Macaca mulatta: one gene and its partner. The protein of the gene in region 2 purifies or fractionates together with the protein of the main gene of each other region. This does not show direct contact. Links are inferred from orthologs where the notes say so. Each region holds a gene or a part of one and is shown on either strand. Other genes may lie near its edges.

Region 1 (7,577 bases), on a different chromosome or scaffold from region 2:
CTTGATTCATTCCCCTTTCTTTTGGTAATAGAAACTTGAATCTCCTTTGGTGAATGTAACCATCAGCATCCCAGCAGATGATTAATCTAAAGAGGGTTTAGTAAAGGTTCCATACAGATGTGTGGGCAGGGTTGAGGGAAAAAGCAGGTCTGATGGTGTGATACACTGTGGCAAGCAACAGAGGGGAGCCATTATCACCTCCAGGGTGGATAATTCTGGAGGTGGAGAAAGGAGAATTTACTAGAACTAGGAGAGAGTACCTGTGTGAAGAAGGCAAGTTGAGAGAAGCTTCAATAAATGCATGTTGCCAACCTGCAGCAACCCAGAAGGGCAGGGGCCAGAGGAATAAAACCCTTACATTCCTCCTCCTCCAACCTTTCGGTCTCATTTCCAATGTCTTCTATTTGGTGAATTCAACTGTAAGTCAGAGGACAAGGGACCTGTGGAAGCAGTCCATGCAGGTTGGCCTCTTGAGGCTCAAATCAGGAAGGAGAAGGGTGGAGAGTAGATCTGGAAGGGCCAACAGAAATGATCTAGCACAGGAAGCCAGCTCTCCCCAAATCTCAGCCCATGCGATTTGAGAGGAGCTGTCAGAATGTTCCATGCTCCTTCTCAGGAGAGTGGTTTAGTGATGCACGGGTAACACAAGTTAGACCAATGAGATGTAGTCCTGGGACTTTTGTTGACAGCATCAGGGAAAAGAAACTCCCTTTCTGCTCGAAAGGGTGTGATTTGAAGTTGTAAGCAGCCATTCTGCCATCTCATGGGGAAAAGGAAGCCTAAGAATGAAAAGTCAACAGGAAATAGAGTCAAGAAATGGAGAGAAAAGACTTAATCCTGATGTCGTAGTTTAAGCCCCTGAATCCAGCCATGCCTGAAGCCCCAAACTTTTCTGTTATGTGAGTCAATGCATTCCATTTGCTGCTTAACCCAGTCTGAGTGATGTATTCCATGAAAAAAAAAAAAAGAGAGAGAATCTTGAATAATACCGGATAATGTGAACCCCATTCCCTGGCCCATCATGTAGATTGCTCACTTCTTCCTCTGCTTTGTCAGCGCGTCGCCAACGTCTCAAATAGTGCACACCTACAATTGTGTCACAATCACTGTGTCCCCTATCTGTGGGCTCCTCAGGTGGCAGATCTGTATGGGCCTTACCCATGCAAGCCCAACACCCGCACAGGGCCTAATTCCTCAGGGAAACTCAGTTAAACAAACTTAACCTGGTTGTTTGACTTAGGATCTCTCAAGGCCATTTTGTGTGTGTGTGTGTGAACATGCATCAGACATCTCCAGGCAGGGCTATGGAATGCAGCCGTTTCCAATCTCATGTCATGTGAAAATTCAATGTTTTGGCCAGGTGCAATGGCTCATGCCTATAATCCCAGCACTCTGGGAGGCCAACGCAGGAGGACTGCTTGAGTTCAGGAGTTCAAGACCAGCCTGGGCAACATAGTGAGACCTCGTCTCTACAAAAAATAGAAAAATTAACCAGGCATGGTGGCATGTACCTGTAGTCCCAGCTACTCAGGAGGCTGAGGTGGGAGGATCGCTTGAGCCTGGATGGTTGAGGCTATGATTGTGCCACTGCACTCCAGCCTAGGCAACAGAGCAGACCCCATCTCAAAACAAACAAAACAAAACAAAACAAAACAAAAAACCCTCAACTTTTGCAAAAGTTGCTGTGTTAGAGGAATTTAGAGAAAAAAAAAAATTACTGCAGTCCTTAGGGTGACTTTGACAAAAGAAGCAGTTTGCAATCATCATTAGTTAAACGAATGAAAGTGAAGAACTTAGTTAAGACAAGATGGGGAGCAGGAGCAGCAGGGTTGGAGGCAGCAGGAACCACAGAAGCAGCAAGCAGGAAGCAGGAAGGGTGATCTGCTGGGTATACCTCTGTGACGGTGCTGGGCTCAACTGCTGGAGAGCCCTTGGGGTCATAATCCAACCCCGATTCCTCAGTTTACATCTAACAGGGATTAGATGTGCTGTACACATTTTAGTCCATCTTCCTGCCCCATGATGCAGGCACTGAGTGCCTTTGATGTTAACCTTCACCGTGCCTCACTTTGCCTCTGAAAGGCCTTGAGTGGGTAATCAGAGCTGATTTTCTTCTAACTGCACTGCACATTCCTTTTTTTTTTCTTTTGAGACGGAGCCTTGCTATGTTGTCCAGGCTGGTCTCAGACTCCTGGCCTCAACCGATCCTCCCGCCTCAGCCTCCTGAGTTGCTGGGACTATGGGTGCGCACCACCGCGCAGCTGCGGGTCCTTGCAGGTGGGAGCTGAGCCCAGTTATTTTCCCTGATCTGTGACCCTGCTTCCCTCTCTGCCGGCTAAGGGAGGAGACATCAGCTGCCTTCCAAGCTGTGCTCAGGCGCTTTGTCATCATAGCTGTTATTGGTAATAATAATACCTGCCAATGTAAGCCTCGGTTCTACCACTGAAACGCGCTGAACAGTTTAGACCCCGGCTCTTCCCTTTGCCTAATAGTTGTAATCATGTCCCATGGTCTCCTAGGGCGTCGGAGACAAGCAAGCAAGACTGCATGGAAGGGTTTTTACACGAAAAAGAAAGCATTAAACATGTGAATTGTACGACAACAGTAGATAGGGCATAGGGTGAAGAGGAGTAAGAGGAGGAGGGAGAGCGGGAGGAGGGAGAAGAGCACGAGTGGGGAGGAGGGGAGAGGAGGGGAAGGGGAAGAGGGTTGTACCCGCCAGGGCGGGACCCAGCCTGTGCCGTCCCACACCTGGTGCTAGCTCCAGCTCAGGTACTTGAGGCCGCCTCTCCTCGGGCAATAAGGCGCCGGCAAGTCCCCCGCATCTGATAATATCCGGGCCGCCGGTTGCCGGGAGGTGAACCGAGGTAAACTCGCCGCGCGCGGGGCGCAGTGTACATAGTAACCAGCCCTGAGTAAACGTTCGTCATATTCCTATGAGCTGCTCCGGAGACTGTCCTACGGGGCTAGCAGGAAAAGGAGATCGGCTCTCTCCGCTCCCGGTGGAAAACGAGAAGGTCGCCAGAGGTCCTGTTTTTGGGGGGATCTAAAGCCCCCGCCCCAGCGCTACAGCCCAAGCCCCCTACAGGCTGGGAACCAAGGACCCGGAGGAGCGGAAGGAGGGCGCGCGCGGCGAGACACCCCCGCCCCGGCCCCCGCGCGCCCCCGCCCCGGCCCCGGCCTCGGCCGGGCCTCCGGCGCCTGCGCCGCCGTGCGCGCGCCCTGCCAGAACAGGAGGGGACAAGGCGGGCGCGCGCAGGGGCCCGGGAGCGCGCGCGGCGCCGGCAGCCTCGCTCAGCCGGGACACCGCCCTAGTCGGCGCCTAGGCGGCCGCTCTCTCCGGCGTCGAGGGCGTGGCGGCGAGGCTGCTGCTGCCCGCGGCTCCTGGCTTTGCCCTCGGCCCCGCCTGCCGCCTGCCAGGCTCTCGGAGGTCTCGCAGCTCGCGGCCCCAGGCTCCCCGCAGACCCGTCGGGCCGCCAGGGCTCGTCCGCCGTCCTCCCGGCTCCGGTCCTGCGGCGGCGGGGCGTGCAGGTGAGACTCCTTGGCGCCCGCCCTCTCCAGCAGGTCTGCACCCAGCGCGGGGCGGGGGTGGGGCGCGGGGCGGGGGCGGGGGGCGTGAAAAGTTAAAAAAAAGGAAGAAGCCACCCCAAGAAGCCCGGGAGGGGTGGGAGCCCCCAGCCGCGGGACCCGGAGATGCTGCCGCGCGCGACGTCGCCTCCCGCCGCACCCTTCTCCCTGGTGGGGTCTAGTCTGGCAGCCTCGAGGGTGGTGTCCCGGAAAACAAAACAAAAGTGTTTTGTCTTCTCCACCAACGATTTTCTCCCACCAAGTGTTTGACTTTTTGAAAAGCCGACAGGCCCAGCCTGCCTCTGAAGGCAGGAGCGGCATGGGCGCCTGGAAGGTGGAAGCCCCCTGTCTTTCTCCCTTGCCCCGCTGCCCCCACGGTGCGTGGATCACCATCGCATCAGTGACTCCCTAACTTCTTGAAACTTGTCTGTCTGCTTCTGTCCGCCGCCTGGACAGGTAGGGCAGGAGTGATCTGTTCCAGGTTGATTTCGTCTAGCTTCCGTGCAAAATCTGATCATCTCCTTTAGAGATTAGGATTCTAGTGTAGGAAGCAATCCAGATCCGTGTTTCAGATACAAACAAGGATTATTTAAAGTGATGTTTTCCTGTAGTGCTGAAAGCCAAAAATACTCGCTTTCACTTGTTGGAAGCCACCGAGTACACCACATTTATTTGAACTTTTCATAGAAGTCTCTGATGTACTATTTGGCAAAAGAAGCAATTGATTTATCGGTAGCTGTGATTACATACGATGTAATTTGTTCTAAGACTGTTTCATTGGCTTTAGTTCAATATGTTAAGCTCTGTAAACACGTAATTCAGGAGCTAGATATGCATCACACAAATGTGTTCTTTTTGGTGGGGATTTAAATTGATCTTCTAGAAATGGGCTTTCCATGCAAAAAGACTGTGAAAAGCCTGAAAACTGAGTCTCTTCGTTAGCCAGGTCATCAGCTTTACATTTTACTGCATTGGCAAGCCTTGCCTTTTTTCTTTTCTTTTCTTTTCCTTTCCTTTCCTTTCGTGTCCTGTCCTGTCCTGTCCTTTCCTTCTTTTTGAGGCATAGGCCTGGCTCTGTCACCCAGGCTGGAGTGCAGTGGTGCAGACACAACTCACTGCAGCCTCAACTTCCCAGGATCAAGCGATCCTCCCACCTCTCAGCGTCCCGAGTAGCTGGGACTGCAGGTGCCGGCTAATTTTTTGTAGAGATTGGGTCTCACCATGTTGCCCGGCTGTTCTTGAACTCCTGGGCCCAAGCCTTCCGTCCACCTCTGCCTCCCAGAGTGCTGGGATTACAGGCATGAGCCACTGCGCCCGGCCTAGACCTTTTTTCTTAGCCTGGAAACAGATTTCAGTGCTTTTCTAGGAAACAAGATTTTTCCTGTTGTTGAAATACAACGTTTGTAAAGGTTTCAAACATGTGAACATTAGGTAACAGACAAGAGCAGATTTTGTATGGTGTTAGAGTTGTTGATTGAAGGACTTAAAACATGAAAAGTCGTGTGAACCGGAAATCCATTAGCCTGAAGCCTGTGAAATAATGGAAGCTCTGAAGTTCAACACCATTTGTTACTTAGAAAAAAACCCCACAGAAGGTGGAGGTAGGACAGCAGCCTCCACTTTCTCCCTAGAATGTAAAGGTTCTATCCAGGGGAAAGGAATTACACCCAGCACAACAAATAGCGTCAGTCTTATATATCTCAACTTCAGTTATTCTTTAAAGCCTGTTGTTTTCATGTGTTTTGTAGGCTGGTGGTGGTTGTTTATTTCTATCTGTCTCTTGCTAACAAATTCCTGGTGGAGTGGAACCTCAATTTTAACAGGACTAATTCTAGGTTATGTGTGAAAACAGGACATGGGTCACTGAAACATACAAAATACAAAATCAGATTTTCACCTGTTTTACTTTACTGTTGCACCAAATTTTTCTTACACACAGCTACTAAAAAATAGTACAGTTCTACCTGTAAGGGGTAAATGAGTAGAGAATAGAAGGTAGGGCTTTGTGAAAGCCGTTTGGAACTTCCCATTGATGGTCCTAAGTGGCTTTTCGTTGTTTTCGTTTTCTTTTTCTTTTGTTTTTTTTTTGAGGTAAGTTCTCCTTCTGTTGCCCACTGCTGGAGTGCAGTGGTGCAAACACAGCTCACTGCAGCCTTGGCCTCCCAGGCTGAAGTAGGCCTCCCACCGCAGCCTCCTGAGTTGCTGAGACTACAGACGTGCACCATGTATTTTTTTGCAGAGACGAGGTTTTGCCATGTTGCCCGGGCTGGTCTTGAACTCTGGAGTTCTGGCAGCCCGCCTGCCTCCACCTCCCGAAGTGCTGGGATTACAGGCATGAGCCACCACACCAGTCCAGGTGTTTCGTTTTGTTTTTTAACTTAGTTGAAATTTATAATTTAGAAATTTATAAAAGGAACTTAGTAGCCCAAAGCACCTGTGTTTATTTTATATATTTTATACATTTTATGTATTTTATTTTGTTCATTTTATAAATACGGAAAAGGCAAGTGATTTTTCCCAAGGTTATTCAGCAGGACGCTTGTTGAGCTGATAATGGAGCACTTGTTTGCTTCCAGTATTGCTTGCCAGCATTTTTAACACACACAAAAAGTAAAAAGTGCTTCTAGCTAAGATATTGAAATGTTCACCAAGTTGGGAAGCCTATTAATTTGAAAAATTATTATTTTAATCCTGGAGGAGAAAAAACTTGCCTTTTCCTGATCAGAACAGAAAATGCAAGATCCATGCCATGTGCTTGACATTTTGCCTTGATAGATGACTTTTGTCACAGGCTTGTTGTGGCGGACCAGATGGTCATGCTACTTGGAGTTTTTCCACTCATTTGATATTTCCATGAAGAAACAATTTGCCAGAAGCCAGCGGCAGTTACAGTTGTGCTAGAGATGATGGGAAACCTGGAATAGCACAGACTTTTTGCTTACAGGAGCTGGAGGATATTGGTTCAGCCCATTCTGCTGGGCCAGTCAGGAGTTCCCTGGATTGGTAAACTGAGGAACAGTTGAGTCTTGTGATGGTTGGAGCAGAGCGGTAATCATACCACTGCACTATAGCCTGGGTGACAGAGACCCTGTCTCTAAAAAAAGAAAAAAGAAAGAAACATAGATATCTTGGGACAAAAGACAAATAATTTGACAATAATCTAAAAAAAAAAAGGAAGGAAAATAGCTAAGACGTTATTAGGATAACTGACAAAATTTGAATCCAGATTATGCATTTGACAAATTATGTATTAGATAATAGTATTATATCAATGTTAAATTTCCTATTTTTGATAAATATCTTATGGGTTATGTAAGAAAATGATCTTGTTTTTATACACTGAAGTATTTGGAAGTAAAAGGGGTATGTTCCATCTTTCAATGGCTCAGGAAAATGCACATCTATAAAAATAGAGAAAGATAAAGCAGATGGACAAAACAGAAGGAATTAGTGACTCTGGGTAAAGGATACAGCGTACCCGAATTCCTTGTGCTATTCTTATAACTTCTGTTTGAAGTTATATCAAGAAAAAAAGGTACTCAAAATTGAAGATAGAAAACAGGAAACGAAGGTGTGACATTCTAAGAATTTTTTTTAAGTCAGGTGAAGGATTATTTCCTGTGTTCTGTTTTTTAAAATCTTTTTACGGGTTAGACGAGGGAACTTGAAACAAACAAACAAAATCTTATCAAGAATAGGTTGACTTTCTCAAATTTCAAAATCTAGTCAGCCAGAGCTCCTCAATTTGTCAGCCTCCAAAAACCCAGGCACAGTATTTTCTTTACCTCTTTTTAATGGGTTGGGAATAGGATAGAAACATTAGTGCCTCTAAGAGATAAAACACAAAGACAGCCCGCCTTTAGAGATACTAAAAGTAAATTGCTTTGATTTTATCATTTCCCTGCCTAAAAACCCTCAATGGCATGCTGATATTGACATGGTCTTTTTTTTTTTTGACATGGTCTTTATGTCAAAACTCTGTAACCCTACTTTCTTGGCAACCTGGCCCA
Region 2 (6,980 bases):
AGGTTTTTATTCTTATTTATTCTCTTGTCAATGGTGTGGACTATTTGTGTTGTTAAACGTCTTCAAGGACTGTTAGTGGCCCTAGATCTCCTATTTGTAATGAAGGTGTTCCTTTCTCACTTTCTTTTTTAACTTCATCAGAAAGAGTATCTGTTGATACTCTTGACTTGCTGGGCTTGACTTCCTGGGCTCAAGTGATCCTCCCACTTCAGCCTCTCAACTAGCTGGGACCACAGGTGCATGCCACCACACCTGGCTAATTTTTAAATATTTTTTTATAGTGATAGGGTCTCATTATGTTGCCCAGGCTGGTCTCAAACTCCTGAACTTAAGCAATCCTCCTGCCTCTGCCTCCCAAAGTGCTGGTATTACAGGTGTGTGCCACCACACCTGCCCTCTTTCATATATATATATATATATATATTTTTTTTTTCCCCAGAGACAGAGTCTCGCTCTGTTGCCCACGCTAGAGTGCAGTGGTGCGGTCTTGGCTCACTGCAACCTCTGCCTCCGGGGTTCAAGCAATTGTCCCACCTCAGCCTCCCGAGTAGCTGGGACTACAGGTGCACATCGCCATGCCTGGCTAATTTTTTGTATTTTAGTAGAGACGGGGTTTCACCACATTGCCCAGGCTGGGCTCGATCTCCTGAGCTTAGGCAGTCCGCCCGCGTCAGCCTCCCAAAGTGCTAGGAGTACTCATATTCTTTAGACTTCTTGGTATCTACAGGTATTTCTTAGTTCCACTGGTTACACAAAAGACCTTTAATCATGATTTTTAAAGATTCTTCTTGTTTTCTTCTGTCCACTGGGAACACACCCAAAGGCAGTTTTGTTTTTGTTTTTGTTTTTTTGAGACAGAGTCTCGCTCTGTCGCCCAGGCTGGAGTGCAGTGACGCACCGTCTCTGCTCACTGCAAGCTCCGCCTCCCGGGTTCACGCCATTCTCCTGCCTCAGCCTCCTGAGTAGCTGGGACTACAGGCGCCCGCCACCTCGCCCAGCTAATTTTTTGTATTATTTTTAGTAGAGACGGGGTTTCACTGTGTTAGCCAGGATGGTCTCGATCTCCTGACCTCGTGATCCGCCTGCCTCGGCCTCCCAAAGTGCTGGGATTACAGGCGTGAGCCACTGCGCCCGGCCCCAAAAGCAGTTTTATAAACTCTTGTTTCCAGTCATTCACTGTTGAGACTCACCTCCCACTTCTTTTTCCTGTGTAGAAATTGAGGGAGTTGTTGAATAATGATATATGACGTATTTACCTAAACTAAATAAATACATACACGTGAAAATAATGGAACGTGTGCATCATAGCCAGTGTTAGGCTTTTTAAGAGCTAGAGATTATATTTTAATTTATTTTCTTAATAATCTATGGTGTGCATTTTAGACATTCAATAACAAATTTTAAGAACACTAGATTGTCCTATAACAAAGAAACAGAAACGAGGACGTGACCTATATCTGTCATTTCTAGAGAACTGTTATACCCTATTTTATTTCATGACCACGGAATAATTAAGAGAATAGTGCAAACAACATTGCTGGTGATAGAGGCTAAGGAATTGGATTTTAAGACTTTCAAAATATAAAGAAAATCAGTTTGGCATCAAAGTATGTGTGCAACTATCTGAACGGTTAATATTAAACATAGCATGCTGGCCATATACTGCTGTGTATTGGAGAAATCGGCAATTTTAAAATCCACTATATTGAATACAGAGATGATTTAATCTAATTTTGAACATTTAATTGTAAATTGCTCCAAGTTTGCCTTTTGTATCTTCCAGTATGAGTTGGTAACTGCACTATATAAACTCCCAGAGAGTGTATACAATATTTAACTCAGGCTAATGACTAGCAAAACAGGCTGTGGCCGTTTAATGAGTGATATTTGCCTTCAAAGGAGAGTTGTAATTATAACCATTTGGCCTATAAAAGGAAATTGTGGGGAAATTTTCTTCGTGGATCTTGAGGGTTATATAGATAGTTACTGTGCAGTGACTCCAAAGTTTCAGTTTCTTTTGTACTTTTATTATATGAGCTCTTCAGGTGACTTTGTTCCTTGGAATAACTCTTAAGAGAATGAACTAAATAAAAGGCTTTAAAATTTTCCATTTGCGCTTTACCTAGTCAAGTCCTGACTTTACAAATGGAAAGTTCTCGAATTCTGTGTAGCAGGTACACAGCTGTACAAAGCATATCAGTTGCCATGCCATGTTCCTCTGTGCCAGATTTTCTTGCTTTTTTCCTTTTTAGCTGCTGTGTTGAAATATGAAAACAATGTCATGAATATCAGGCAGTTTAATTGTTCTCCACACCCCTACTGGCTTCCAAACTTTATGGATGTTTTCACATGGTCTTTGCCTTTTGTTGGGGAAAAAGGTAAGAGAACTAAAGCATGTGTCTCGTCAGTTGTTTGGTGACTGAGCACACCTTATATTTGCATGAGCCCCCGCAAGGTTCAGAAATGTTTTCTAATTTTGTTTGTTCTCTACTTAGATTTTTTTTTTTTTTTTTTTTTTTTGAGACAGAGTCTCGCTCTGTCACCCAGGCTGGAGTGCAGTGGCACAATCTTGGCTAACTACAACCTCCACCTCCTGGGTTCAAGCGATTCTCCTGCCTCAGCCTCCCGAGGAGCTGGGATTATAGGCATGTGCCCCTGCGCCCGGCTAATTTTTGTATTTTAGTAGATACAGGGTTTCACCATATTGGCCAGGCTGGTCTCAAACTCCTGACCTCAAGTGATCCGCTCTCCTCAGCCTCCCAAAGTGCTGGGATTACAGGTGTGAGCCACTGTGCGCAGCCTCTACATAGATTTGTAAATGGCATGTAATTGGTTCTTAAATTTTCATACATTATGGTTTTCTTACTGTAAATATCAATTTAAAGTAGCTGACCTACTATGATCAAGATGATAAAACAACATAGTTACTTGTCATTGCCTCAGATTTCTTCACTACTGAAGAGATTTAAACAGAATTTATTGTCCTTACAATTTTATTTGTACAACTACTCACATAAGCTAAGCCTGTTGGATGTAGGCCTGTTGGCTTAACTTTGTAAAATGGGAAAAAATTTTATCACGTGTGTATCAGTATGGGAAGAAGCTCTGAACAGCAACTCAGTAAAATCAAGTAGTTATGCAATAGATCTTCAAAGACTCCAAACTTGTACCGGAGCAAGTAATCTACCTAAATTCTTTTTAAATCTGAAAGTTTACGTTTATGCTACTTTTTATAGCTATTGTTACTAACATAATGATAAATAATTTTTGTTCATGCTTACTTAACGTGTGTTTATTTAGATATACACATTATTTTAGAGAAAATACCTCATTAATTGCATAAATTTTGGATTATTTTGTTTTACGTAGTCACAGAGATGCTGGTAAATGTGCTCAACATATGCTCTGATGACGAACTGATTTCTGATGATGAAGCGGAAGGTAAAGTTTTCCTCCTCTAAACTAAAACTAGGGAGAGGTTCGGTTTTGGTTTTAGTTGTTTTAGTTTATTTTGAATGATTTTCTTTGTCATATTAAAAATAAATTTAGTTCATTGTGGAAAAATAAAATTTGAAAAATACGAGAAACCATAAATAAGGAAAAAAAGTCACCCATAATCCCATCATCTTATAGATATCCACAGTTAACATCTTAATGTATACTGTGTTAGCTGTCTTTTATCTCTGCACATAGCTTTCCTCTGTTTTTTTTCTTTTTAATGAGAATGAGGTCATGTAATAAGATCTAGTACACTTACTGTTTTTGTGGAGTTTCTTGTAGACTAATTTCTAATGGATCTGTAGTTGTCCATGCTGATCAATGTTTTATCTAATCCCAGTGGTGTTAGATATTGGAGGTTTTCCAAAGTTTTTGCTGACAAAACCCATATAGTTTTGAAAATTTGTATAGATAAAAATGTACACATTCTATTAACCAATATTTATTACATGGTTGATATATACCAAGTACTGTACTGTTTAGGTCCTTGCTCTCAATAAGCTTATTTGCTAGTGCAGGGAGGAAAAACAGTAAATAAATATGTCAGATGAAAGGAAGTAAAGCAATATTAGAAAATCAAGAATAACACTCCTTATTTCCATAGGATGAATTTCTAGAAATTGAATATCTGTGTCAATTAGTACTTAAAATTTCAATTCTGATACAGATAGAAATTTCTGATACAGCCTCTAGAAAGGCTGTACCACTTTACATTTTGCAGGGTGTATAGTCACAGTGCGGTCTCCAATACTCTTTATGATACTCATTATAGTCTGGTGTTATTAAGTTTTTAATTAAAACTTTATATTTTTATGAGACTAATGGACAATTTTTTCTTGTGTTTATTGGTCATGTTTATCTCTCTTTTGTGACTTGTCAATTCATATCTTGTATCCTTTTTTTTTTTTTTTGAGACAGAGTGTTGTTCTGTCACCCAGGATGGAGTGCAGTGGCGCGATCTTGGCTCACTGCAACCTTCACCTCCCGGGTTCAAGTGATTCTCCTGCCTCAGCCTTGTAAGTAGCTGGGATTACAGGCGCGTGCCACCACGACCAGCTAATTTTTGTGTTTTTAGTATAGATGGGGTTTCACCATGTTGCCCGGGCTAGTCTCGAACTCCTGAGCTCAAAGTGGTCTGCCTGCCTGGGTCTCCCAAAGTGCTGGGATTACAGGCATGAGCCACCACGCCCAACCCCATTTTGTTTTTTGTTCTTATTGGCGTGTGAGGAATCTTTTTATTCAGTAACATTTTATTATATATGTAGCCAAGTACTTTTTTCCTAGTGTGCTGTGGGAGGTTTGATTGTAAAGGTAGGTCCTGACTTGTCTGAGAATGCAAGAGATTCTGGAAAAGTGGTGGTTACCCAAGCACAAACCGGCCTCATCCTATCCAGGCTCTGTGCTAAGTTGGTTCCCTTAACTGTGAGGATAAACCATCTCCATCATGGAGAAAACAGAATTCCCTTTGGGAATCTAGAGGAAATTACCGTACACTCTCATGCTTCAGGTTCTGCACTGAAAATCAACAGCATATGGAAGATAGCTTGCGAGTGTATTTATTTATGGTATAGGAGATCACTATAAGGAACCAGTTCTTCTTGAGGAAGTAGTGCAGCCAAGTGAAAAACAAAAGAAAAACCGAATATCCCCTTGAGCAACATGGTGAAACCCCATCTCTACTGAAAATGCAGAAATCAGCCAGATGTGGTGGCGAGTGCCTCTGGTCCCAGCTACTTGGGGGCGTGAGGTGGGAGGATTACTTGAACCTGAGAGGCAGAGGTTGCAGTGAGCCGAGATCTTGCCACTGCACTCTAGCCTGGCAACAGAGGAAGACCCTGTTTCAAAAAACCAAACGAACAAACAAAAACACATGTATTTCCTATTCTTTACCACCACAAACATAAAAATAAATAAATAAATAAATAAAAAGGAAGAATGGGCTGGGCACAGTGGCTCACGCCTGTAATCCCAGCACTCTGGGAGGCCGAGGCAGGTGGATCATGAGGTCAAGAGATCGAGACCATCCTTGCCAATGTGGTGAAACCCCATCTCTACTAAAAACACAAAATTTAGCTGGATGTGGCGGCGCGTGTCTGTAGTCCCAGCTACTCAGGAGGCTGAGGTAGGAGAATTGCTTGAACCTGAGAGGTGGAGGTTGCAGTGAGCCAAGATCGCACCACTGCACTCCAGCCTGGCGACAGAGCAAGACTCCATCTCAAAAAAAAAAAACAAAAAAGAAAAAAAGGGAAGAATGATTATATCCCCTGAAAAAGAAGCCGTGAAGCTGTAGAATCCATTAAACAAAAAAACATGCTATTCCTACAAAGAGATTTGTTAACTGTTCTGTCCTCCGTTTTTGTTCCTTGTTTTTGCCATCATTTATTCCACAAATTATATCTTTATTTAATGTTATTTTCATGATGTGTGGGGGTAGAAAATGTTGGATGCTCATAGATGTGAATTAATGTAAAACCATAAACTTTTAAGAAATGGAAGAAACTACTGACAAAATAAATTTGTAATTTAATGTTGCATCATGATTCCAAGGATATCTCTTATGAGCTGGTAAAGATAATAGCCTGTTTCTCTCATTGCATTTCACTTTGATTTTTTTTTTCTCTTTTCCATGTAAACATAAATTTCTCTTCTCATATTTCTGTCTTCATCTCCTTGTTTCTTGGTGTCTCTTCTCCCTGAAGATCACTACATTCCAAGCTATCAGAAAGGTATCCGACTAAACTGTGCTAAGAGCTTAATGCTTACTCTCTGTCCCACCACAGTTGTCTATTGGTTAGACTTTTAAAATTGGTAGTTAAATAATTTCAGAAAGGCTCTCCATCCTCCCCTTCAGTTTTAATGTGTATGTTTTCTCTGGACCTCTTGCATGATCCGGCAGGGTGTTGAGGGTTGGATGTGAGGAAGGAGAGGCCATGTTTCTTTTTCTGACTTTTGACTGTAGATACCTGGTGCATGCTAGACCTTGGCTTCTCATTTGTGGGCTATTTTCAGAATCCTAGATAAGAAAAAGCCATAAAGTCTCGCGTTAACTTTTTCTGTTGTTGCTTTTTAAAATAGTGCACGGTTGTAAGTAGTATTGTGAGGCAATAATTCACTAATGTAAGTGAAGATTATAGAATGAAAGCAGCACTCACTAAGTTCAGGAGAGCTAGCTGGGTGTTGTGTTTACGTACAGAAGACAGCTGCTGGAATGATCACTTGCCATTTGGCAGGCCAAACCCCGCACCCTAAGGTGGCCCACAGCATTGTCAAAAGACATCTTTGCTGTAGCAGCTTTCTTGGTGAGGTTTGTTTATGTATGTGTGTGTTTCATTCTTTGCTGTGTTCTACGTTTCACAACCACAAATAAGTTCCCACCTCTCATAGATCCACCCAGTCTGTCTCTTTTGTGGCCTCTCATTTTTACTTCATCTTTTTACCTTCTGGGTCATTTTTTCTCTTGCTCCTTAGAACTTCCTGAGATT

The links. Proteins that work in one complex are often made in the same cells at the same time.
Region 1: the proteins of PPP3CC (region 2) and RCAN3 purify together in Homo sapiens (affinity purification with mass spectrometry; 3 studies listed by BioGRID and IntAct, counting the BioPlex papers as one, with this or other methods). This does not show direct contact. The link is inferred for Macaca mulatta from reciprocal best matches to the Homo sapiens genes PPP3CC and RCAN3.

The regions. Positions count from the first base shown.
Region 1 is NC_133406.1:216,460,516-216,468,092, reverse strand, and holds the start of RCAN3 (calcipressin-3), read left to right. Parts: upstream 1-3,268; 5' UTR 3,269-3,564; intron 3,565-7,577.
Region 2 is NC_133413.1:24,189,681-24,196,660, forward strand, and holds part of PPP3CC (serine/threonine-protein phosphatase 2B catalytic subunit gamma isoform), read left to right. Parts: intron 1-2,252; coding exon 2,253-2,378; intron 2,379-3,369; coding exon 3,370-3,441; intron 3,442-6,197; coding exon 6,198-6,224; intron 6,225-6,980. UniProt on the Homo sapiens protein: Calcium-dependent, calmodulin-stimulated protein phosphatase which plays an essential role in the transduction of intracellular Ca(2+)-mediated signals. Dephosphorylates and activates transcription factor NFATC1.